Tamandua tetradactyla: one gene and its partners. The protein of the gene in region 2 purifies or fractionates together with the protein of the main gene of each other region. This does not show direct contact. Links are inferred from orthologs where the notes say so. Each region holds a gene or a part of one and is shown on either strand. Other genes may lie near its edges.

Region 1 (7,564 bases), on a different chromosome or scaffold from region 2:
TTACCTCCCCTAGGAGCAAACTGTCCCAATTCTCAGAGGTGAAGGGGAGGATCTCACGATCGAAATCAAAATATTTCTTCTTACAGCATACACTAAGGTGATAGAGGACAAGATGGGCCACATCCACCCTGGAGAAACATGGGGTTGTAAGGTCAGAGAAACATCACAAAAGCCAGGGAATTCTGGGATGGTAGGTGGGAGCATGTAGGGTAAAAAGACTCCAGGTTTGAGAGAAGCTCATGCCCAGCTCAGCTTACCAGCGAAGCTGTAGCCTCCTGACCTTCTCAGGGCCCCCCCGACACACACAGCATTCAAACTCATAGAACCTGGATGGGGGCAAAAGAGTGAGAATATACTTTATGCTGGAAAAGATAACATCCTATACAGAGAACTCACCAGCAAAGATAGGGCCAACAGGTAAAGTGACAATGTAGTGGTTGGGAAGGGATGGGAGGGGAGGAGGATATGGTGGAGCTGAGAAGTTGGAACAGGAAGCAAGGCAGGCTGTCAGCTCCTGGAGGATCTGTCCTGGTCTCACCTGTCCCCATAGAGGAGGGGCTTGCTCAGACACTGGGTACAGGCCTCATGGAACCACTGCAGGCAGCTCCGGCACTGCAACATTTTCAGGTTCCACCTATGGAGGAATGTGGGACACTGGCCTCCGAATATCTCCCCATAACTGCCCCATACCCTGCCCATCACATACCCCCCCATCCCACTCGGCATTCCCCTCAATCCATTTTCATGCTCTTGATCAGCCCCCCACCCCAAACCCATATCACTCATTCCTTAGCCCTCTACCCTTACTTACTCCCCAGGGCCACCACAGTAACAGTAGCTCTGCTGCCTGTTGCTCAGATGTCCAGCGTCCCAGTCCAGCCCCTTAAGTCCATATGGCAGAGAGAGCTTCATGCTCAGCATGGCCCGGGCATAGGGACCCTTCTTCAGGGCACCCCCCCTCTGCAAATAGAGAACAGGTAGGTGGCCTCAAAGGGGCAGAGAGAGGAGAGGTAGGGGGCTCCCAATGAAAAGCATTTCAGCAGTGGTAATGAGAGGTGCCTTTTACCTTGGTGGCGATGGCGAAGACGCACTGGCGGCAGACCCAGGGAGATGTGCCCTCTCCCTCTCCAGGGGCTGGGGCCCTTGGAACATGACAGTCCTGGTGATAAGCTGAGTAATAATAATGTTGATAGTAAATCAGTTATTGTATTACATACCTATGTGTGCTAGCACTGGGGTAGGAATAGCCTTATCCATCTCATTTAATCCTTGACCATGGTCCTGCTGGGATGGGATGTATTATCTTTATTTTATAGGCAAGGGAGCTAAAACCCCTAGGTGTTAAGAGGGGACTTGACCAAGTTAACATGGCTAGAAGACAGTGTATGTGAACCACACACTGCCTGCAAGGCTCCCCCTCCCCCACCCCCTACCCCCTTTCCATGACTCCTTTTCCCCAGGCTGGAAGAAGGCAAGGTTATGGGGTTGAAGAGACTGGCCAAAGTGGTGGCCTGGGGATCCAGGCCAGACCAGGTGGTATGAAAATAGATGGGGGAAAGGCCAGAGGCAGCCTGGAAGGCCCATGTTTCTTACCATGGCGACACTTCTCACAGCTGACCAGCCCGTTCCCAGGGACCACAGTCTCAGAGCGACAGACACAACAGAGGAGTTCCTCCCCAGGGAGGGCAGCTGTGGGGGAACATGGTGTCAGGGGGCCTGCCCATAAGCCCCCTTTTGCCCCCCGAAGTCAGGTTTCAGTTTTCAGTGGGATATATATATACTCAGGCCGCTAGGGTCTCACCAGGGCTAATGTCCTTCCATAAAACCAGAAACTGGGAATCATCCTCAAACTGGACCAGACAGACCTCCCGAGCACTGTCTACCTAAAATGGGTAAGTTCAGAGGATGAGATGGGAGTCAGGATTAAAGGGAATGGGAAGAAGGTGACAGGTCAGAGGTCAAAGGGCTTACTTTCTTGATGGTCCCCAAGTAAAGCAGCCCATCAGTCCATCTGGCCAGCACATCCTGACCTTCCCAAAGTCGGGGCCTGGGGCCTGAGGTGGGAGCAGGGGAAGCTGGGTCCCAAAGTTGGGGGGGACCAGAGCGGCTCAACCGGGGGGGCTGCGCCATTGCATTCTGGGGGGCCTAGCCAGAAATGAGATAGAGAAGAGAAGGTTATGAAAGCTGAGATATTCAGCAGCTACCCACCCACCCCCATCCTCCATTCTCCAAATCCCTAAGATATTTGGATATGAAACCACTCAGCACCTTTTACTAGCTTCTTGACTCCAGCTTTCCCAACTCTGGTGCCTGACTCCTATCCCTGATAACCCACCCCCACCCCCCAATTCTCTAGTTTTCCAGCTTCCTGAGCTCCCCTGGGATATTATAACCTGGCCTTGAAATGTTAGCTGAAACGATGGTTGCAGAAGCAAAGACTATCACTCAGCTTCTACTGTCACATTCCGTTGCTATGTAGAGGTAAAATTGGGGTGCTCTGTTGCCCAGAGATGTGTTTGGGAGCTTTTCTGGAGATGTTGTCCAGAGTCTCTGAGAAACGGCTGCTTCCCCAGGCCGGCGCGTGTCTCATTCAGAACAATCACCCCAGTGCCAGGTTATGTCAGGTCACCCTCAAATTCGGGGATCCCAGCCTCCCCCCCCCCCCCCAGGTTAAATAACTTCCCTGAGTGCCCTGGGAGGGGGGCGTGTCCCAGTCCCAGTCTTTACTCCCCACGACGAGCGAGTCCGAGCGTGAGGCGACTTGAGCCGACGCAACCGGACCCGATGCCCAGGCAACGAGGGCTCGCCCACCCGCCCTGCGCACCGACCCCAGGCTCTGTGCACCGCCCCCCCCTCCACTGGCGTCTCCCGCCGCCTCCTTACCGGTGACAGCTGGGGGCGCCGGGAGCCGGGCAGGGGCAGCCGTGAGAGACCGAGGCGAGTCCTCCGCGCGGGGAGGGAACGTCCGGCCGTCGTGGGGCGTACAGGCAGAGACCGGGGGGTCCTCAGGCCCAGCCCCTCCGTCCCGGCGGCTCTGGGGCGTATGACGCAGCAGCCAAAGCAGCGGCAGCGGCAGGAGGAGGCGGCAGGGGGGAGGAGGGGAGGGACGGACCGACTGGGGGGGAGGGTGGTGGGAGGGGAGGACTGGGGGGAGGAGGAGCCGGGGGGGGCGGGCACCACCTCACCCCACCTCCCTCACCTTCAACAGGCCTGGAGGCGCAGAGCGCGCGGCGCTCTCTCCGCGGCTGGGGCGGGCGGACAGTCGAACTCGGAGGGAGAGGGAATCCCCACAGCCCCTTCCTCAGACGGGAGACCCGCCCTCGGGGCAGGAGGGAATCCCCCCTCCCGGCAGCCCGCCTTTGGGCTGGGCCCCCGCCCCATGCCACATCCGTTAGCTGCCCCCCACCACGTCAGTGGTCACTCGAAGTCCCGCCCCCCAGTCCCGCCCTCCATTCACCCTTCCCGTTGCCCCGCCACGCCCTCCTCCCACGAGTGCCCCGCCCTCCTCCCGCCGTTGCCCCCGGCCCCGCCCTCTCCGTGGCAAGTTATTTCCTCCCCGCCCACCGTGCTTTCGCGCATGCGTAGCCCCTCCCGCGCGCGGCACCTGGGAGGACTGGGCCAGCCCCTCCTGTACCGGGCGGCGGCCGTTGGTGCTTGGCGCGAGAGTCAGCGCGCTCCCGCTTCCCTTGTACGTAAAGCCTGGCACTTGGAGACCTTATACAAGGACGAGGCTGGCTAGCACCCAGGACGGTGACGTCACCGAGAGCCAGCCAATAGGCGGCGGGCGGGGTAGAATCCTGGCGATTCGAAAGGGAAGGCAGGGAAAGGCGGGAGGAAAGAGCCAGCGGTTTATGGGAGTGCGCGCTGGTCCCCTTTCCTGAGCTCGGGTCCCCATCATTCCACATACGCCAAAGGAACATTCCAGCCAGGGGGTGGGGTGTAAAGGCGAAACAACTAGTGACCGTTAAGACTGGATAGCTTAGTGGGCACATCTTTATGCGGACGCCCAAAGTGAGGAAGGTGTGGGGGAGATGACCAGGGTCCAGAACCGGAAGGGCCAAGGAGGAGATAAAGGGCAGGCTTCAGAACACAGGCTTAGCAGAGCAGACAGATCCACAGCTCCCATCTTTAGAGATATGAAAAATAGCTGCAAATAAGATTTCACTTTTAAAAAAAAAATGTTCTTTATTTAATAGGCCTAGATACAGAGCTTCCCCCCCCCCCCCCAGGCATCCCCAGCCACCCCTCCACCCAAACACACACAAACACACACAGGATCTGGCTCCGTCTTCATTTCCTGTTAGCCTGGGCGGTACCAATAACACACTGGTTCACCTGAGGGCAGGGGGGGGTAAATAGGCAGGATTAAAAAGTTTGCACAGTAACTAAAAGAACAGTTTTCCCAAAATCTGTTTTGATCCCCAATGCTAGAGCTGTTCTTGGGGAATAGTGAAATAGCAACTCTGAAAACAGGCTCAGGCTGGTTATAGTTAGTCCTCCTATACCCATTAGCCCTGGAGGAGGCGAAATGGCAAGAGAAGACTCCCCACAGCAAGATATAAGAGCAGAGGGAGAAACTTAACTTCCATTTCCAACAATATCATGACTTAAAAACCTTGAACCCCACGGAATTCCTAATAAGCTAGATAAAATATTAACAAAATCCATTTAGGAACCAGAATGCCTTGGAAAAGGGATGCTTTCAAATCTGGGGCAGGAAGTGTTCAAGATGAGTTTGGAACACAGACTATTGGGACCCTGTCTAAAGGACACAGGAACCAACTTGAAGGGGCCCCAACTGGCCAAAAATGGCACAAATGTGAACATCAGAAAAAAATAAAGACTGCAAAGGATTGATATACATCAAATATATAAATATCTACAAAATGATACCTCTAGATAAGAACTCACTGGTCACCTCTGGAATTTGCAAGGGTATCACTTCCATTATACTGAAAACTGATAATCTGTTACCTACCCTGCCTATATGGACTCAATCTTGGAGTAACTAAATGAAGGAAAATCATTTAGGAGAATCATAACTAGGGAATGCCAAATAACTGATAAAATTAGAAGAGCCTCCATTTAAAAATTCCCTAATGAAATACTGAATCTAGGCATGATCATCATTGTCTGATAAAATTAAGTGAAAAATGAGTTATGAAATGGATGGATCAGACTAACAACACCCAAATCCAATAATCAAATTTTTTGTCACTGAAAGTGGAACAGCTAAATTGTATCCTTCTGATACAATGCAATGTGTATTGTACCATCTACTGACTTTTCTTACCAAGAAATGGGAACCTGACTCAAATCTAATCAAGCTACAAGATAAACTGTATGAGGGATAAAGGAAGCAATCAATCAAAATCTAGAATACAATATGTTCCATAGGACAAATGACCCTATTTCTTCAACAAAGAAATGGCATAAAAGGAAGGGTGTTATATACTAGAAGAAACTTAAGAGACATTTCAACCAAATGGAACAGGTGGCCCTTGCTTGGATCCCATGTATCCTAATGTGAATAAACCTAATGAATAAAGGATATTTCTGAAACAACAGTGAAATTTAACATGAACTGGGTATTAGAGGACATTAAAGAGTTCATGTTGTTGGATGTTAACATTTAACTTTAATAAAAAGTTCAAAACAAGAACACCCTTTCAGTTGAACTTGTTAAAATACAGAATCAAAGCAGACCATGGCAGTGTGCAGGTGCTGAGGCCACTGGCTGCTCCACAGCAGCAAACCACCCCCTATGGTAGCACTGGGGAAAGCCCAAACACAGCAGAATGGCAGGCCTAATCAGAGACCTCAAATAAAGCCAGAACCCATCACAGGGCTATCCCCCCTGAAAAAAAAGGTTAAGCCAGAGAAAAACATTACTCCCCAGAGGCAGATAGTACAACTTTCTGACTTGGCTTAACTCAGGTGGAAGGTACACAAGTTTCCTCGAGCATCTGCGGCCAATGGCTGACCCTCATGGGTTCTGAAGCCTGAATTCACACTATTTCGAAGGATCTGGAAACTCCCTAAGTCTCCTTTGATCCAAAAGTCCCGTTTCTATGAATCTACCCTATAGACATAATTAAACAAATAGAAAATGACATATGGACAGTTAGTAAATGTCGCCTTGTCTGTAAGAGAAAAAGAGTGGATACAATCCCAGTTGTCCAGCAGAGGGAACTGGTGGATAAACGTTGGTGCATCCGCACAGTGGAGTGCTAGGCAGCCCTAAAAAGAATGGAAGAAAGGGATGATCTCTCTATGCTGCTGGAGAGTAGTCTTGGGGTTACATTATTAAACAAAACCCACAAGGTATAGAACCATATAGAGATGGGAGAGAGATTTTATATAAGGAAGGGGGTTAAGGAACATAGCTTAAATTTACAAATATATATATATATATATATCTATATATTGGAAGGATAAATAAGAAAATGACAAATGATAAAAATGATGACTTATACTAAATAAGCGGGAGAATGCGGTGGAAGCAAGACGTGATTATGCTATGTACAGCTTTCTATATAGTTTAAACCTTTTAATCACCTATTAAAAAAACTTTTAAAAAGGCCTAAAACCAATAGTTAAAAATAGATCCAGTTGGGTAGTACTGGAGATGCCAGACTGAAGCAAATGTAAATCCCTGCAAGATGAAAGTGCCCCCTGGCCCCACAGAACAGAAGGGCTAGGGATGAAGCAGCCTACAATTATCCAGGGGTCCTGACAGCCCCTGGGCTTAATGGTAATCGCACCTTGGAGGCAAAGCGCAGAGAGTTGAGGGTTTCAGAGATGTTCTCTTCTAGCGGGGAAATGTTCACGAACATGAGCCTGTAGAAAGAAGAAAGGGAGCCAAACTTCAGCATCAGCAGCTGGGTGGAACCTTGACCAGGTCCCCATTGTTTCTCTTTTCCCCACCCTGACCCAACGCATCCCAGTTCCTATCCCATCCCCTTCCATCGTCCCTTTCACTCACATCTTAGCGCTGCCGCCCAGAGAGTTCTGCAGCAGATAGGTGAGCTTGCTGTTTCGGTAGGGCACGTGGGACTCCTAGATGATTGAAAGGGGGCAGGTGGTTAGAATAGGGGAAGGTTCAGCATGGCCAGGCCCACCCAGCCTTCCTCTAAGTCCCAACTCCCCTTGCCCCACCCGAGGCCCACCACTCCCACCTTGTTGCTTAGGGCCATGATGACCAGCCCCAGCGTGGACAGGCTGCTGTTAATGGCCTGTGTTTCCCTAAGTCGTTCCCGCTCCCCTGGGCCAAGGGCTAAGCCGGGGTCTAGCCGCTCACTCCCAGCCAGGTCCACCAGGCTGAGGGGGGCCCCACACTGCAGGCCCCGGCCAGTGTGCTCCCCAGAGATCTGCAGCTGGAACACACTGTGGCTGCGTGATGACCGCTCATTCTGAGCTGTGCGGGCCACAGCCCGGTTCTGGTGGGCCAGATGGAGCAGGGCCTCTACCTAGGGAGGGTAGCAGCAAGGGGAAAAGGCAATATCAGGAATGGCAGTGAATGAGGGTCAGCCCCTGCCCTCTGAGGTTTTGCTTTCTAGTGCAT
Region 2 (7,850 bases):
GGTATGGCCTGGGTGTCAAGAGTTTTAAAAGCACCCCAGGTGATGCTAATGTGCAGCCAAGTTTGAGAACTATTGTACACTCCTTTTATATCCACTAGGATGCCTGGCATAGGACTAAACACGAGTCATCCCAGTTCGCTGAAGGATTATAAAACTTTCCACATCACCAATAAACTTGGGTTCTTGGGATAATAGTTGTTGAAAGAAAGAAAGTGGGTTTTCTAAGAGATGTTCAGAAGATTTGAATGTCAGGAGAAAAACTGGTGAGAGATTTGTGAACCTTCACCGACTGATGGTAACTGAAGCCATGGGAGTGGCTGTCAAAGTGACTATTCAAGTGATAAGATGAGAGATAAAAAGAAATTTTGAGATAACAAGGAAAGTATAGTTACAGAAATAGTTTGAGGTGAAAAGGAAGGAAGGTGAGGGGATTTATGCCAAAGTAGATCAGAGTTATGCAACCTGGTTCAAGATCTACAGCCTCACCAGGGCTTCCTGCCCTCGTGGATCTCCCAGGCACTTCAGGTCTGGCAGTACTTTATACTCTGTACCGTGCCATACGCCCCTTTTATATCCACCAGGATCCCTGGCATAGGACTAAACCCAAGTAATCCCGGTTCACTGAAGGATTATATGATTTCAATCTTTTTAAATTTATTGAGACTTGCTTTGTGACCCAGCATATGGTCTATCCCTGAGAATGATCCATGAGCACTTGAGAGAAAGGTATATCCTCGCTGAAGGATTATAAAAACGACTTTCTACATCACCAGTAAACTTGGGTTCTTGGGAGAAATTGTTTGCCAGTTGGTTTCTCCTCATTAAAATGGGAGAGAGTTTTTCTGGAGAGGAAACTCTTAGCTGAGAGTTCCATGTGGCACTATCAGCCAACCTTTGTTTGGTTAGCTGTCCCCCTACAATTCTTTTTACTTTCCATTCCTTTAGGTCTTTTTCCTGTAAATTCATAGAAAAACTGTTAGGGTGTTGTCAGTAACTGGACCCTTGGAAAACAGTACCATCACCCCTGCCCCACTCTTGCCTGCTCCGCCCCCGGGCAGTTAATGGGAGAAAGGAACAACTCTGTCACTCTTGGCTTCCAGTTGCTCATCTTGCTCTTGAACTGCAGGCCTCTGGGGCTGAAAGAAACTGGACAAAGTGTGCTGTGTAGCTTAATAGGGCTGGTTCCTTTTCTGAAAGTTCCCTATTGCGGAAAAACAAAATTATGTGTTTAATTTCTGAAACCCGATGCCTGATTTGCCTTGGCGGCCATTCTCCCAGCTTGGCCAAGAGTCCAGCAACTCTAGCGTACTGATTAATACAAGCTCAACTTGCTCCCTGGAGAAGAAGAGCATATTTACTTGACCATTTTCTTAAACCCTTTTTAAATTTGCATGTCTTTTAGTATGATCTTATTAGCTCTAACATGCTGTATCTGTAACCACTAGTCCCAGTGAAAGCTCAGGGAAGACTGTTTTGCTCTATGCACTCACATTCCCATCACAAAGTGAGATTTTGTTCAACCCAGTGATTAGGAACAACGTGACATATGTTCCATTCCTTCTGGGATGGGTGAGTTCTAAGTGTACTTTTGTCCCCTGCTGGTCCTCCTCAGGCTACTAGAAAAGGAAAGAGAGGAGACACCTCCCAGAATTCAAATAGAGCTCTCTGCATTATCCCTTCCTTCCAACCTGAGTCCCCTTTGAACTGTGACTCCCTTGACCCATTTTGCTCCTCCCCTGGGTAATATTAGACCACCATTCTCCAAGGGGACACAAAGGCCTGAGGAAAGGTTGGGCCTCAGACAGTCCCTGACAGGGAAATGTAAACACAGCTGTGGAAATGGGAGTACAGCAAACCAGCTCCCTCCCCCAGCTCCCACCCAGAAGCAGGGAACATCCACCCTGCCTTGAGGCAACAAACAACAAAACAAAGCAAAGCAAAGCAAAGCACAACCTAAAAGCCTACAAGAAGGTCACCAGGAACTGGGGCTGCTGCCCAGCCCTTGGTGGGGTCAGCTCAAGTGCCAGACCCCTCCCTGAACACTTAGAGGCACAGCGAGGCAAAAGCAGCTCCAAAGCAAGTTGAGGTCTGGACGTTGCTGAGCCTGGAAATATTGCTCAATTTTGAAGCCTCTCCACTCCTGGACACTTTATCCTCTGATCTCAAAAATCCAGTTTTCCACCCTAGGTACTTAGCTTCTGGCCTCTAGGTGCTTCAGGATTATAATAATGTGTTTAACTCAGCAAGTAAGAACAGGCCTAAAATAAACCCTTGTCCATGGCTGCTACAAATTTAAACTCTGAGCCTCCAAGACAAAATATCAGAGAGGGCCTTCCTTAGCTTTTGTTAATTACAAAAAGGGGCTTGCTCTTTTAGGGATTACTTGGGTGGAATTCATGCCTTGATTTGCACATACTCTAAAAGTTCCAACCCCATAGCTAGAGTGATACTCCCATGCTCACTCCCTCCAAATGGTTAAGGCAGCCCCTTGATCCCACAGGACACACCTTTGGCATGGCCTGCCTGGGAAGTAGTCTTGATTGGGCGGACAACTAATGAGCTGTGCTTCCTTTCTGGCCATCAGGGTCTTCAACTGTAAAAACAAAAAGGCAGAACTAGAAAAATATAATAATAATAGCCTTCATATACTGAACACCAATTTTACACCTGGCACTATGCTAAATGCCTTGCACATCATCTCATTTCACCTGAAACTGATAACGTTCTTATCCCCACTTTACAGCTGAGGAAACTAGGGCTTAAAGAGATTCTGGGATTTGTTCAAAGTCATTCAGTTGGTTAGTGATGTGGCCGGGATTTGGGCCCAGTTATTCTGACCCCCAAACCCATGCCCTGAACCGCTTCATTATACCTCTTCCTTTCTCTGACGTCTTCCAGCCCTGACATTATGATTCTGGATTCTCCCCGTGGCTCTTTGCTCCCACCAGTGGCAACAGCAAGAGAAATATCTTTGCAACTCTAGTCTGTAAGTCCAGAGGAAAACAGTTCCTGAAAGTCAAGGGGCTCCTTATTTCCCCTGTATTGAAGATGCCAATCAAAGCTGGACACTCAACAGACCCCCATATCAGCAGGGTACAGCCTGTGTGGAAAACAAACAAATCATAACCAGACAGGAAAGGGGAGGTCCCCTTGGTTCATGACTTCCTCTCCTCTCTTTCCTGGCTTATCAGCAGGGCCCCACACTGCTGATGCTATGACCCCTTTCAATCTTACTGTGGCTAGAATGGGGCTCTTGCCCTTTTGGAACAAGAGAAGTAGCCACTTTACCCACAAATACATCTACAGATTACATTCATGGTACCGTAGGTAAAGGAACAAAAATAAGTTATATTTATTTATACATTGAACACGTTGCATTAAGCATTCCCATAATCACTGGACATTGCACTGGTGTGTACCTATATCACCTTGTGTAATCCTTGTGAGATACCTGGGAGGTAAGTATTGTTTTTCACATTTTACAGAAAAGGACATTGAGGCTCAGAGAGATTGACAATATTGTCTATTGCCACATGGCTGTAACAGAACTGTAATTCGAACTCAGGCTAGTTCTGCCTGACTCCAAGGTCTACATTTTCTTCAATAAAAGGAGTGTTGTATAATGAAAAGAACAAAATTATGAAACTGAAGAGATTCCAGAATATCTTGGAAATATAGTTGTCATTATGTGTAACACAAAATCACAGTAATTACCATTATCAGCATGTTTACTGGTACCAGGCCCTGTGCCAAGTGCTTTATATCTACTATCTCTACTTCTCAGTGAGATATAGGCTGTGAACCCCATTGTTCTGATAAGGAAACAAACTCAGAGGAATTAAGTAATTTGTGCAAGGTCACATACAACTAAACAAGTGATGGAGCTGGGATTCAAAACCAGGTCTACCTGACTGCAAAGTGCATGCTCATAATCAATAAAGCAATAGAAATAATAAAAATAAGCATTGACTGACTGTGAGCCAAATGCTAAGTCTTTATATTTTATAACTTAGTTAATTGAATATTATAATCCCTATTTTACAGAACAGGAAAATACTGCCTTTTATGATATTACTTAAGCGCACATGACAAGCAACATACATGCTAAACATACAGGCTATTAGTATCACATTTGCTTAACATGTATTGAATCCTTATTATGATCTAGAAAATTGCTTATTTCATAATAACATGGTTCCATTTCATCGGCCATCTAATGTACTAAGGTCTTAGGAGAAAGTATGGGAAAAGACACTGTAGATAAAGCAAGCATTGTCAAGAGAGGGGTAGTATTCTGTTGCATGAGAAGCCCTGTCTGGTTGACCTTCTGGCCAGGCTTCTCATCCCTTCCTATCTGATCTTACCTAGCAGCTTGGCTTCCATGAGGTATCAAGGAACTTAGCCTAGTGCTTAGGCTTCAGCATCAAGCAGACCTGGATTCAAATCCAGACTCTGCCACTACTAGTTGCAGGACCTTGGACAGGTTACTTACTCTTTCTGAGCCTCAGTTTCTGTAAAATGAGCTGCTGTGATACCTAATTTAATAGAGTTGTGAGTTTTATGTGAGATAATCTGTGTGAAGCACTGAACATACTGCCTGGCATCCTCAGGGCTTGGTTAATGAGCATTATTATGCCATGTTATACAACATCCTAAGATGGTGGGAGAGGGTAAGAGGGCTCCTGGGGATGGTTTCATAGGATAACCACAGGGAACACAGCCCTTCCTGAGGATTGGGGGGAGGGTGAAAACAATTCTGGCATTGGGCATTGGGCTCTTACAGCAACCATGATTCAGCCCCAGGTGCCGAGGGACCAGCCATGTTCTCGGCACTGCTGGGTGTGTTCTGTGGTCACTTGGCCACGGTCCTCTTCAGTCATGCTGTCTGAACGTCCTTCTTATGAATTCATTCAGAGTTCTTTTCAGAAAAACAGCCCCTACCATATGATGTCATGGTCCAGCCTGAGTCAGGGAAGGAGGGGGAAGGAGAATAAGTGTACTTGGTTGGGTGAAGCAGGATCTTCTCACTCTTTATCCTCCCCTCCTTTCAACATCCAGTAAGAATCAATCATCTGAGCAGGAGTGGGGGGGGAGGGAGATGATATATCATAATAGTTAAGGCCTGAACCTTAATGTTCCAGTCCGAAAGGATTTGTGTACCCTAGAAAAACCTTGTTTTAATCCTAATCAATCTTGTGAGAGCAACGATTTCTTCTAATCCCTATTTAGTACTACAGGTTGTAAACTTGGTTAGGTTATCTTCACAGAGGTGTGACTCCATTGTGGGTATTAAACTTGAGTAGATGGAGATGTGTCTTCACCCATTCTAGTGGGTCTAGATTAGTTTGTGGGAGTCCTATAAAAGAGGAGACAGTTTGGAAAGAGTTCATTTTGAGAATGAGGAGAGAGCTGCAGAACGATAACAGAAGGACGAGAGACCACAGAGTCCACCAGCCAGTGACCTTTACAGATGAAAAAGGAAAACACCTCCCAGGGAGCTTCATAAAGTAAGCGGCCTGGAGAGAAAGCTAGCAGATACACCATCGTGTTTGCCATGTGCCCTTCCAACCGAGAAAGAAATGCTGAACATCATCAGTCTTCTTGAACCAAGGTATCTTTGCCTGGATGCCTTAGGTTGGACATTTCTATAGACTTGTTTTGATTCGGACAATTTCACAGTCTTAGAACTGTAAACTAGCAACTTATTAAATCCCCCTTTTAAAAGCCATTCCGTTTCTGGTATATTGCATTCTGGCAGCTAGCAAACTAGAACACTTAGTATTGAGCAGTCCTGGATTCAAATCCTGACTCTGACAATGATAAGCTCTGGGACCTTGGGCAAAGCATTTAAACTCTCTGATCCTGTTTCCCCATTTTACTCATGAACAGGATAGTTCTGATCCTATGGGGTAGGGCTTTAAGAAATGCATACAAAGCACCTGGCACATGTGTCAGAGAACACACTATGAAGACATAGTTAGGTGAGCATTCAATAAATGGCAGTTACTATTCAGTCCCCAGCGGTTGACGAGGAATACATTTTCTCTGCTTCTTTCTAACTCAGGGACAAATTTTTGTTTAATAACAATTCTCTTTAGGAGGTAATCAAGTTCATCTCATTCTGTAGCTGAGGAACCTGGGGAGAGATTGAGTAGTTGTGTCTCTACCCCTTTGCTTTCCCTCCTTTAGCCAGCTGCCTCCCTGGCTTGCAGCTTCTCAGGTCCTCCCTGCTTCCTTTGATCCCTCTGAAGAATCAGACTCTTCTCAGGAGGGACTTCTAGCTTCTCTGACCCTCTCCCTCACATCTTCTCTGGCGCTCTACTCTTCATTTTGCAGACAGTTTGGACAGAGGCCAGCATGTGTGAATGTCTCTACATGGTAAAGATGCTACTTTCAGGGTGCATATAATTTGCATGGTGTAGGGGGCCCCCAGTGCCTTTTACTCTCTTCTATGTTGTTCTGGATTTAGTGGTTGCATCACCTCTCCCCTGCTCCAGGCAGGAAAGCCCTTGGCAGATAATAAGAAGGGAATTTTTTTACATGTCAGTAAATTCCAGAAGGAATCAATCTAGGTTGGGTCCGGAAATCGCTAGACAATGACCAGCTGGACCGGAATCTGATCCTTTTCTTCCCAGGCACTGGCGGGGAGGAGGGGGGCAGATAGAAGAAAAAATATCTGCCCACTGGATATTAGAAAAAAGAGACTAAAAACAATATTATGCTATGTTAAAAGGAAAGAGGCACATTTATGTATAGTAACATGGAAAGATATGCAAGACCTATTAAGTTTAAAAGTCATTGACAAATAGGTACATTAAATCCCATTTATGTTGTTTTTAATCTAAAATATGTGGGGAGGTAAGTGAGACAGGGTGGAGTTATAGTTTTCTATGTTATGTAAATATTTTACAATTAGTACATACTTATATTTTACCTGTAATGAAAAAAAATTTTTTTATAGCGAAAGCAGAAGTGGGCTAAAAGAGAAGTTAAAGGCCCCCAAGGATGGCTGGAAAGAGGGGGCTTTCCATGATAAAAACAGCCTCAGACCCTGAAAAATCCCTTCCCTGTCTCATATCTGTAGATCATGTGACTATCTCCTATGGCAACTTGGAACAGGAAGGTAAAGTCTCCAGTCTCCTGTTAAGCACTAAGGGGCCCCTATAGCAGACCCTCAGTTACCAAGATGTCCAGCAGTCAATGAAAATATCCACCAGATATTAAATAGGGAAAGGGGGAAAATCAGTAGATTCTCCAATGGGAGGATCTGGACTTCTAAGTTCAGGAATGGTTACATAAGCTCTTCTTTGTAGGTCATTACATTACCATACAAACTTAAACCCAACCCTAAGTTAAACATAACACTTCCTACTGAGTCATCTACATTTCCCTTTTTATTCTACGGCAATTTTATATGTGAAAATGTTGAGGTCCAGAGATATAAAGTGACCTGTCCAAGGTTACACAGTAAGACAGGGGCAGAACCTGGCCTCAGAATCCTAACCATTTTAGGATATTTTAGCCCATTATACCATATTGCCCTATTTCAAACCCAGCATTTGCTTTTGACAACTTCAGTCTTGTCCCGTCCTTAGTCCTAACCCATAGTGGGCTCAGGGGCTTCTGGACCCAGCCCAGTGAAAAAGTCTGGATTTGCTTTCTGTCCCTTGTTGTGCCCTCCTCCCATCTTATAACCCAGGAATCTCCCTCTCAACCATAGCTTCTTCTTGAAAAGGGTACTCGCGGATATTCTGAGAGAAAAGATAGCATTTGGTGTCCAGTCGAAAGTGGCTCTGAAAGAAAGGTGACTCTTCTGCATCACTGCAGGAGATGACCCTTAAAGGTTAACA
Region 3 (6,859 bases), on a different chromosome or scaffold from region 2:
AGTATCTCACATGCAGTGTAGCAGGAATCTCGGCTTGAATGTAAACTGGATCTGTTGCTGGGGTTCAAGCATGTCTGGGCATGTCTGGCAAACTGGTGAGACAGGACTGAAAGAAACTTGCTTACATGGGGGCTGAGGCTGCTTCCTGGAACAGAACTCATTTTCGTGGAAGAAAGAATTAGACAGAGAAGCCCTATAAGAAAGACTTACTCATTGGATGGGGAGTAATAAATACAGCGTGGGGTAGCTGCTACTCAAATCTGTCGCCATTCTAGGCCCATGAAAGCATGTCTGGGTCCCTTAGAGAGACAGACTTCTGAATAAAAAACATAAAGAGCTGTTTCACTGAAACAGTGTATAATACTGGGCATAAGCAGTTTGCTTTGGGGTTCCCCTAGCAAAGGTCAACACGAACGTCTCCATTTCTTCAGACGACACCATGGCTTGGGCTGTTTGTATCACATGCAAAAGCTCCTGGTAGGAGTTTGCAGTGTCTAGAACAGTGAAGAGGGCTCTCAGAAATATTTTTTTGGTGTACTCTGCTGGAAGCTGATGTCCTGACTATGTAAGTAGGCTTGGTAGGCACAAAAGATAATGATATTTGAGTTATTTTTGTTAATGCGACCTCATTAATACTATAATTGATGAGTTTGAATAATATTTGTAATCAATTAGCTTTTATGCAGTATTATTGGGCAATTTGTAATTATTTATAGGGTCACATACTGTCTGAGCTGAAGCGAACTGTAGAACAGTGATTCTCAATTTGTGAACAGTTTTTTGTCTTTCTTTTTAATTTGCAAAGGACTGCTACTTGTGTAAAGTACAGTGAAAATGAATGGCCAGAATAATGAAATTAAAAAAAAAAAAACAACAGTTGACATAAACAAAAAGGATTGATTTTTATTATTAGGTTCAGCAGACGTAAAACAGAATTACTCTGTCGGGTTGTTAACAAAGTTTGGAAACGTTCATTTCGGTATTTTTGCGGTCGCATTCAGGTAAGGAAGGCTTTGTGTTGTGTTTGTGGAAGCAGCCACGCTTTCCGCTGTCTCTTCCAACCTCTCAGCTGATGCTGCCTAAAGAAACTCTATCAATGGAGGTGCAGAATCTATTAAAACAACGATTTAAATTTCGAGAGTTTAATGACACCGATACACTGTGGTAATGTGGAGAAAGATCTTGTTTTTAGGAGACGCATGCAGAGTAGTGACGTCTGCAACTGAAGCCGATAAACCTGAGAGGGAAACTGGGAGAGAGGGATAGAGGGAGGCAGAGGGAGGGGGAGAGAGGGAAGTAGAGAGGGTGCACATATGGCAAATTGCAGTAACTGATGAATCTAGATAGGTGTATGGGTGAGCTTATTATACAATTATTTAAACTTTTTAGAAAACTTGCTATTAAAATAACAAAAAACAAACAAAACCAAAAACAAAATAAACACCACCCCCCGGAAAAAAAAACAACTCTGCAGTAGTGGAAAACTCATTATTTTCTCCAAAAAACCCAATTTCATCTTAAAGTATAAATATTGTAGCTGGAGCACTCATTTGTGGCTTTGATTACTGTCATTTCCATGTGTAAATCTCCATTCACTTTTTTTTCAGTCCCTCCATATCCCCTATACATTAGATATGGCCTTACTACATAGCTGTACTCACACCTTTCTTAAGATACCTCAGAATATACTCGTTATTTTTCAGCATCAAAACTCTTAATTCAAGACCTGCAAAAGCATTGCTTTCTCATGATTGATTAACCCTGTCTCAAATAAACTTTTATGCTTTTCTATGCTATTGCTTCTGTCTTAGAATTCCCCCCCGCACAATTATATTTTATTTACTCTTCAAGATCCAGCTCAAATTATTTAAATTTACATGTAGCTATCATCTACCTTACTTTCTACACTTCTGTTTAAATCTTACATTCTTCACGAAGTTTCCTTGATGAACTCAGCCAAAGGTCTCTAGTACTTAACAGAGAGCTTGGTGATTACACTCAGTAAACAGTTTTGAGTGAATACGCTCTGTTTAGTTCTTCATTTTCAATAAGGGTGTATTATCAAAAAATGGCTTTGAGGTAAAAATGGAGTACTGTAGTGAAGGAACTATAATGCTTTCATACTAATTTTATTTTGTTTTCTCTTGAGACAACATCGCATGTAACTGATGTCCAAAACCTGAGCATGAGACATAATACTGGGGTACTCACGGTATATGAAGACTTTCCCGTATGTGTATGAGCACAGACTCTATTTTAAGGCAATAGGTTGTCTGATACTCATCTCCCTTAGACAGGTGTCCTTAAAATTGATCTGCTTGAAAATGTGCCCTGGGTTCAGGGTGCAGTGCAGACTACCCTCCCTTATTCCAATTGCCTTTCTCCCAAACAAAAGAAATGAAAGCATGATGCACACTCACCTCAAATCTTAAGGGCCAAAAATCTCCCAAAATTTTACTAAAAGGGCAAAAAAACCCTCCAGGATGCAAAAACCTCCAGAACACCAATGAAGGGGCAAGTGGAAATACTGTGGGTGAGTGAGAATGAGGAGCACATCCATTACAAATCAGGTGGTTTTCAGTTACACACAGCAGAGTTGAAGGAAAACCTAATCAGAGTTGTCAGCTGAAAGATCATTGAAAGTATTTTGTTGTTGTTAAATCTCTATGATTTTTTGGCATATAATTTGGAAGGAGTTCAAAGATTTGAGTGACATTGCTATTATTCACAGAAGTCCATTCATTCGCATCTACTTATTGTTGTGAACAAGTTTCCTCGGTGTCTACATCCACGGAATTGAAAACTTGGAATAGAATTAACGCTGAACTCCTTATTTTTCTAGTAATATTCAGCCACTGATTAAACTTGTTGAAACAAAAACCTATCTAACTCCATTGCTGTAAGAATGGTCTCCTCCAGGTTTTACTTTTGTGTTTAATACTTACAAAAATTTACCATATGTGTTTTGACTAGTTGTAATAACACTTAGAATCTTATGGTCAGTAAAATTAAAAAAAAAACCCTTAAATTTCAGTTTGTATGCACATTTTTGTTATACGTTAAGAGTGATAGGATCAATAAAAGACAAAATGTTTTATTGGGATAAAATACTGGAGGGGAAGTTTAATACAAATAAAAGTTCCAAAAGATAAAGGAAAGATTGACAATTTCTGTGTAAAAGAAGAGATTGTTCACGTATTCTAAAAGAGTGGATTTGGCGGGTATTAAATCCCTATGGTATTGGAATTGCCTACATTTAAAAAGGGTGACAGTTACATTTTAAAGCCAGTACTTATAACACGCTGGAAAAAAACCGTAGGTGCCATCTACGTTTAAGACTGTACATAGTTTTACAAAATTAAGGGGCTCATGACTTACAACGTTTGAAGACTTCTCACCCAAAGGATGGATACTCTGAGGTTATGATTTCACCATCATTACAACTATTCAAACAGGTTAGATTTAAACCTGTGGCTCTATGTTGCACATATGGACTTAGTAACTTGTATGATTTAATTTGGTTCCTTTTAATCGCCTCTCCTTGGAGATCATAACCTCTCTTAAGGCCAGGAACTTATTCCATCCCAGGCTCAGCGCCAGTACGCAGCGGACACTCCCCAAATACCGCCGAAACAAATGACTTTCTCGTGCGAATTCGGAGGGTTGTTAAAATCCCCGGTCAGCGTTGGGGTTTCAGTTTCTTGTGTTGCGCTCGCCGCGCTGCCCGAGAGCGCGTGGGAGGACCCCTAGGAAACTCTGACGGCACCGAGCGGGAGCTGGGGCGCGGGCGCGGAACCTGCGGACTGGGGAGGCGGCACCTCATGCTCCGCGCAGGCGCGCAACTGTCTCCGCGTGAGTGCGCGTAGTCGCGCGCCTGTCCCCGCGCGGGCTCCGTAGCGCGTGTGCAAGCTGACGCAGCTCGCGGGCCCTCCTCCTGCTCTGCCGCGGCTTCGGCGGAGTTTTGGGCGTTTGGGAGGGGGCGAGGGAGCGAGAGTAGAGACAGCGAGAAGGCGGCAGCGGCGGCGGCGAGGAGGAGGAGGAGGAGGAGTAACAGGCGCCGCCATGGCCGCCGCTATCACCGACATGGCCGACCTGGAGGAGCTCTCCCGCCTGAGCCCTCTGCCCCCTGGCAGCCTCGGCGCGGCGCGAGGTCGGGCTGAGCCCCCTGAAGAGGAGGAGGAAGAGGAGGAGGAAGAAGAGGAGGCGGAGGCCGAGGCGGTGGCTGCACTGCTGCTGAACGGCGGCGGCGGTGGGGGTGGCGGCGGCGGAGTGGGGGGCGGCGAGGCGGAGACGATGTCGGAGCCTAGCCCCGAGAGCGCCAGCCAGGCCGGGGAGGACGAGGACGAAGAGGAGGACGATGAGGAGGACGAGAGCAGCAGCAGTGGCGGGGGCGAGGAGGAGAGTAGCGCCGAGAGCCTGGTGGGCAGCAGTGGCGGGAGCAGTAGCGACGAGACCCGGTCCCTGAGCCCCGGCGCTGCCAGCAGCAGCAGCGGGGATGGCGATGGCAAGGAGGGCCTGGAGGAGCCCAAGGGACCGCGGGGTAGCCAGGGTGGCGGTGGGGGCGGCGGCAGCAGCAGCAGCAGTGTAGTCTCCAGCGGCGGCGACGAGGGTTACGGGACCGGGGGAGGCGGAAGCAGCGCGACCTCCGGGGGCCGGCGAGGCAGCTTAGAAATGTCTTCGGATGGGGAGCCCCTAAGCCGCATGGACTCGGAGGACAGGTCAGTGCACCGAACCGTCTCCCCTTCCCTATGCCCTCTTGCACTCCTGGACCCCTTTAGGGGACTTTCTGCTGAGACCCCCGTGTTCCCTGAACCTTCGGCGCCTCCCCCAGGCTCTCAACTCCGAGATCTCCGACCGCCGCGCCCCTTTCGCAGCGGATAGCGGCTTCTAACTCTCAGACCATTTTTCTCCAACTCTCCTTTCCCCGCCCTCTTCCCTCTAGGCTCTGTGCTTCTTATGGACCTAAGGGGAGCTCTAACTTGGAAACAATCCCCAAATAGGTCCCCGATCTCCTGGTGGAGCACGAGGAGGCTTTGATGTACACCTTGGTACATAAGGTTAGCTTCATTCAACCGTCCTCGTGAACACTTGTCAGAACTATAATTGACAAGTGTCTTCCAACATGGCTGGTCTCGCCTGGATTTAACATAACTTCCTTGTCCAGGAAGGAGACCCCAATTATCGCTTTTCTCTACTTAAAGAAAAAAAAAATAAAAAAGGAAGATTGTGCTTTTATATTTAATCAAAGCTTTCCAAATTCCTCATTTGCAGTCATTAATGTGATTTCTGACATGATTTTAATAATCTTTTCTGTTTTGTGGTCAAATCTGGAAGTTTAAAACGCGTGTAAATTATCGTGGAAAGAATAATGAATTGCTGTTTTTTAAAATAACGGGCGTCAAAAAGTAGTAATGATAATACAGTGTCGAAGGTTCAACATACTAGTGTGTCGTTTAAAATCTTTAAAAAGTAATGCTTCGAAGTGAGAGTCACGATTTTAGATGATATTAAAAGTCATGTATGGGAGAGGCCTATGAAGAAATGAGTATCATTTTCTAAAACTTGCTAGGAATAAAGTGGAGACTGATTAAAAATGCATCCAGTATTTTCAGATTTGATAAAAATATTGTAATAGTATGTTTCCGTTCACAATCATTACACTGATCCCTTTGGAGAACTTAATGTTTTAATTAACTGGTTTTTAATGTACTTTTAAACAAAAGAATTATATGCATCATGCATATTATATTTCTAAAGTATATTAGCATTTATTTTAATCATCTAATATTTTGAGGAGCAGTAGGATTTTTAACAATCAGTATTGATTTTGATTTAAGAGTTTAAGTATTCTAAAGTTTTTTTTGCAGGAATTTTGATGAACAAAAGTAAAACTATCTTCAGTGTTACAAGGAATACAAAGGTCTGAATATTTTGGAAATCTAGCATTAGATTCTGTTCCACGTTTACTTTGTCTAGTTAAAACAGTTTGGATGGAGTAAAATAGACTATGAATGTTAGAAAAATTGTTCGTACCTAGGCAGGAAGAAGAATGTTCTCAAGAAAATTACAGATTATTTGTGAACTGCATAGTGAATTACGTGCTGTTTATCATTTTGTTATATTCTTCACTGCTACCACTAGAAGTTGATGTTAGGTTATACAGTCAGCATCTATCGCAGTTCCTTGTATTTACTGAATATTCATACACACACATAAACACACACATAAACATCCACATTTGCCTAATACTGCACAGTTTAAATGTTTCAGCTTTAGTACAGGATATTATTTTGACTTCCATTTAATAGATGATGAAACAAGTTGAGTTGTGTCTTACTCAAAACAATTCAGCTTGGGAGTTAACAAAGGTTCTCAAGTCCCCTGTTATTTCAATTTAACAAGACACTGAATAATTCACCTTAAGTAGCAAGTTGTGTATGTCAGATTTTGTTTGTTGCGTTAATTTCTTTCCATTACATCTCCTAAGGAGACAGTTTGTTGGCCATGTAATATTTCAGAAAGGATGAATTTTGGTTTCATTTGACATTTAATAGATAATTTCTTTGAAAATCTAATTTTTACATCCTTCAAAGTAAGGAGTAATGGTTTCAGGTGGTTAAAACGTAGATAACTAAGCATACTTGTCTTTTCTTAAAGAATGCTTAAATATTAGAGATTTCAAAATTTTGTGGTAATTTTTATATACAGTTTCAGGGTATTAAATTAATCACTTGGATGAAAGAGCTTTATATAAGTAGTGAACCTGGTTGCTGGTCTTGAACTTAATTCTGAAATGTCCTCTTCTTGCCTCTGAAGGTCCCCCCTCTCCCCCCAGAGTTGTTTTAATTTGGAAAGAATC

What was found.
Region 1: the proteins of EZH1 (region 2) and PHF1 purify together in Homo sapiens (affinity purification with mass spectrometry; 5 studies listed by BioGRID and IntAct, with this or other methods). This does not show direct contact. The link is inferred for Tamandua tetradactyla from reciprocal best matches to the Homo sapiens genes EZH1 and PHF1.
Region 3: the proteins of EZH1 (region 2) and AEBP2 purify together in Homo sapiens (affinity purification with mass spectrometry; 3 studies listed by BioGRID and IntAct, with this or other methods). This does not show direct contact. The link is inferred for Tamandua tetradactyla from reciprocal best matches to the Homo sapiens genes EZH1 and AEBP2.

The regions. Positions count from the first base shown.
Region 1 is NC_135331.1:89,391,414-89,398,977, reverse strand, and holds the start of PHF1 (PHD finger protein 1), read right to left. Parts: upstream 3,006-7,564; 5' UTR 2,884-3,005; exon of another isoform or gene 2,807-2,883; intron 2,647-2,806; exon of another isoform or gene 2,357-2,646; intron 2,146-2,356; 5' UTR 2,131-2,145; coding exon 1,972-2,130; intron 1,893-1,971; exon of another isoform or gene 1,884-1,892; coding exon 1,802-1,883; intron 1,690-1,801; coding exon 1,594-1,689; intron 1,171-1,593; coding exon 1,067-1,170; intron 961-1,066; coding exon 812-960; intron 635-811; coding exon 539-634; intron 418-538; exon of another isoform or gene 327-417; coding exon 258-326; exon of another isoform or gene 159-257; intron 129-158; coding exon 5-128; intron 1-4. Other genes in the region: kinesin-like protein KIFC1, read right to left, coding at 4,291-4,335, 6,765-6,840, 6,986-7,059, 7,179-7,469. UniProt on the Homo sapiens protein: Polycomb group (PcG) that specifically binds histone H3 trimethylated at 'Lys-36' (H3K36me3) and recruits the PRC2 complex. Involved in DNA damage response and is recruited at double-strand breaks (DSBs).
Region 2 is NC_135332.1:24,496,949-24,504,798, reverse strand, and holds the start of EZH1 (histone-lysine N-methyltransferase EZH1), read right to left. Parts: upstream 3,005-7,850; 5' UTR 2,873-3,004; intron 2,594-2,872; 5' UTR 2,508-2,593; intron 1-2,507.
Region 3 is NC_135333.1:82,026,983-82,033,841, forward strand, and holds the start of AEBP2 (zinc finger protein AEBP2), read left to right. Parts: upstream 1-3,854; 5' UTR 3,855-4,062; coding exon 4,063-4,718; intron 4,719-6,859. UniProt on the Homo sapiens protein: Acts as an accessory subunit for the core Polycomb repressive complex 2 (PRC2), which mediates histone H3K27 (H3K27me3) trimethylation on chromatin leading to transcriptional repression of the affected target gene.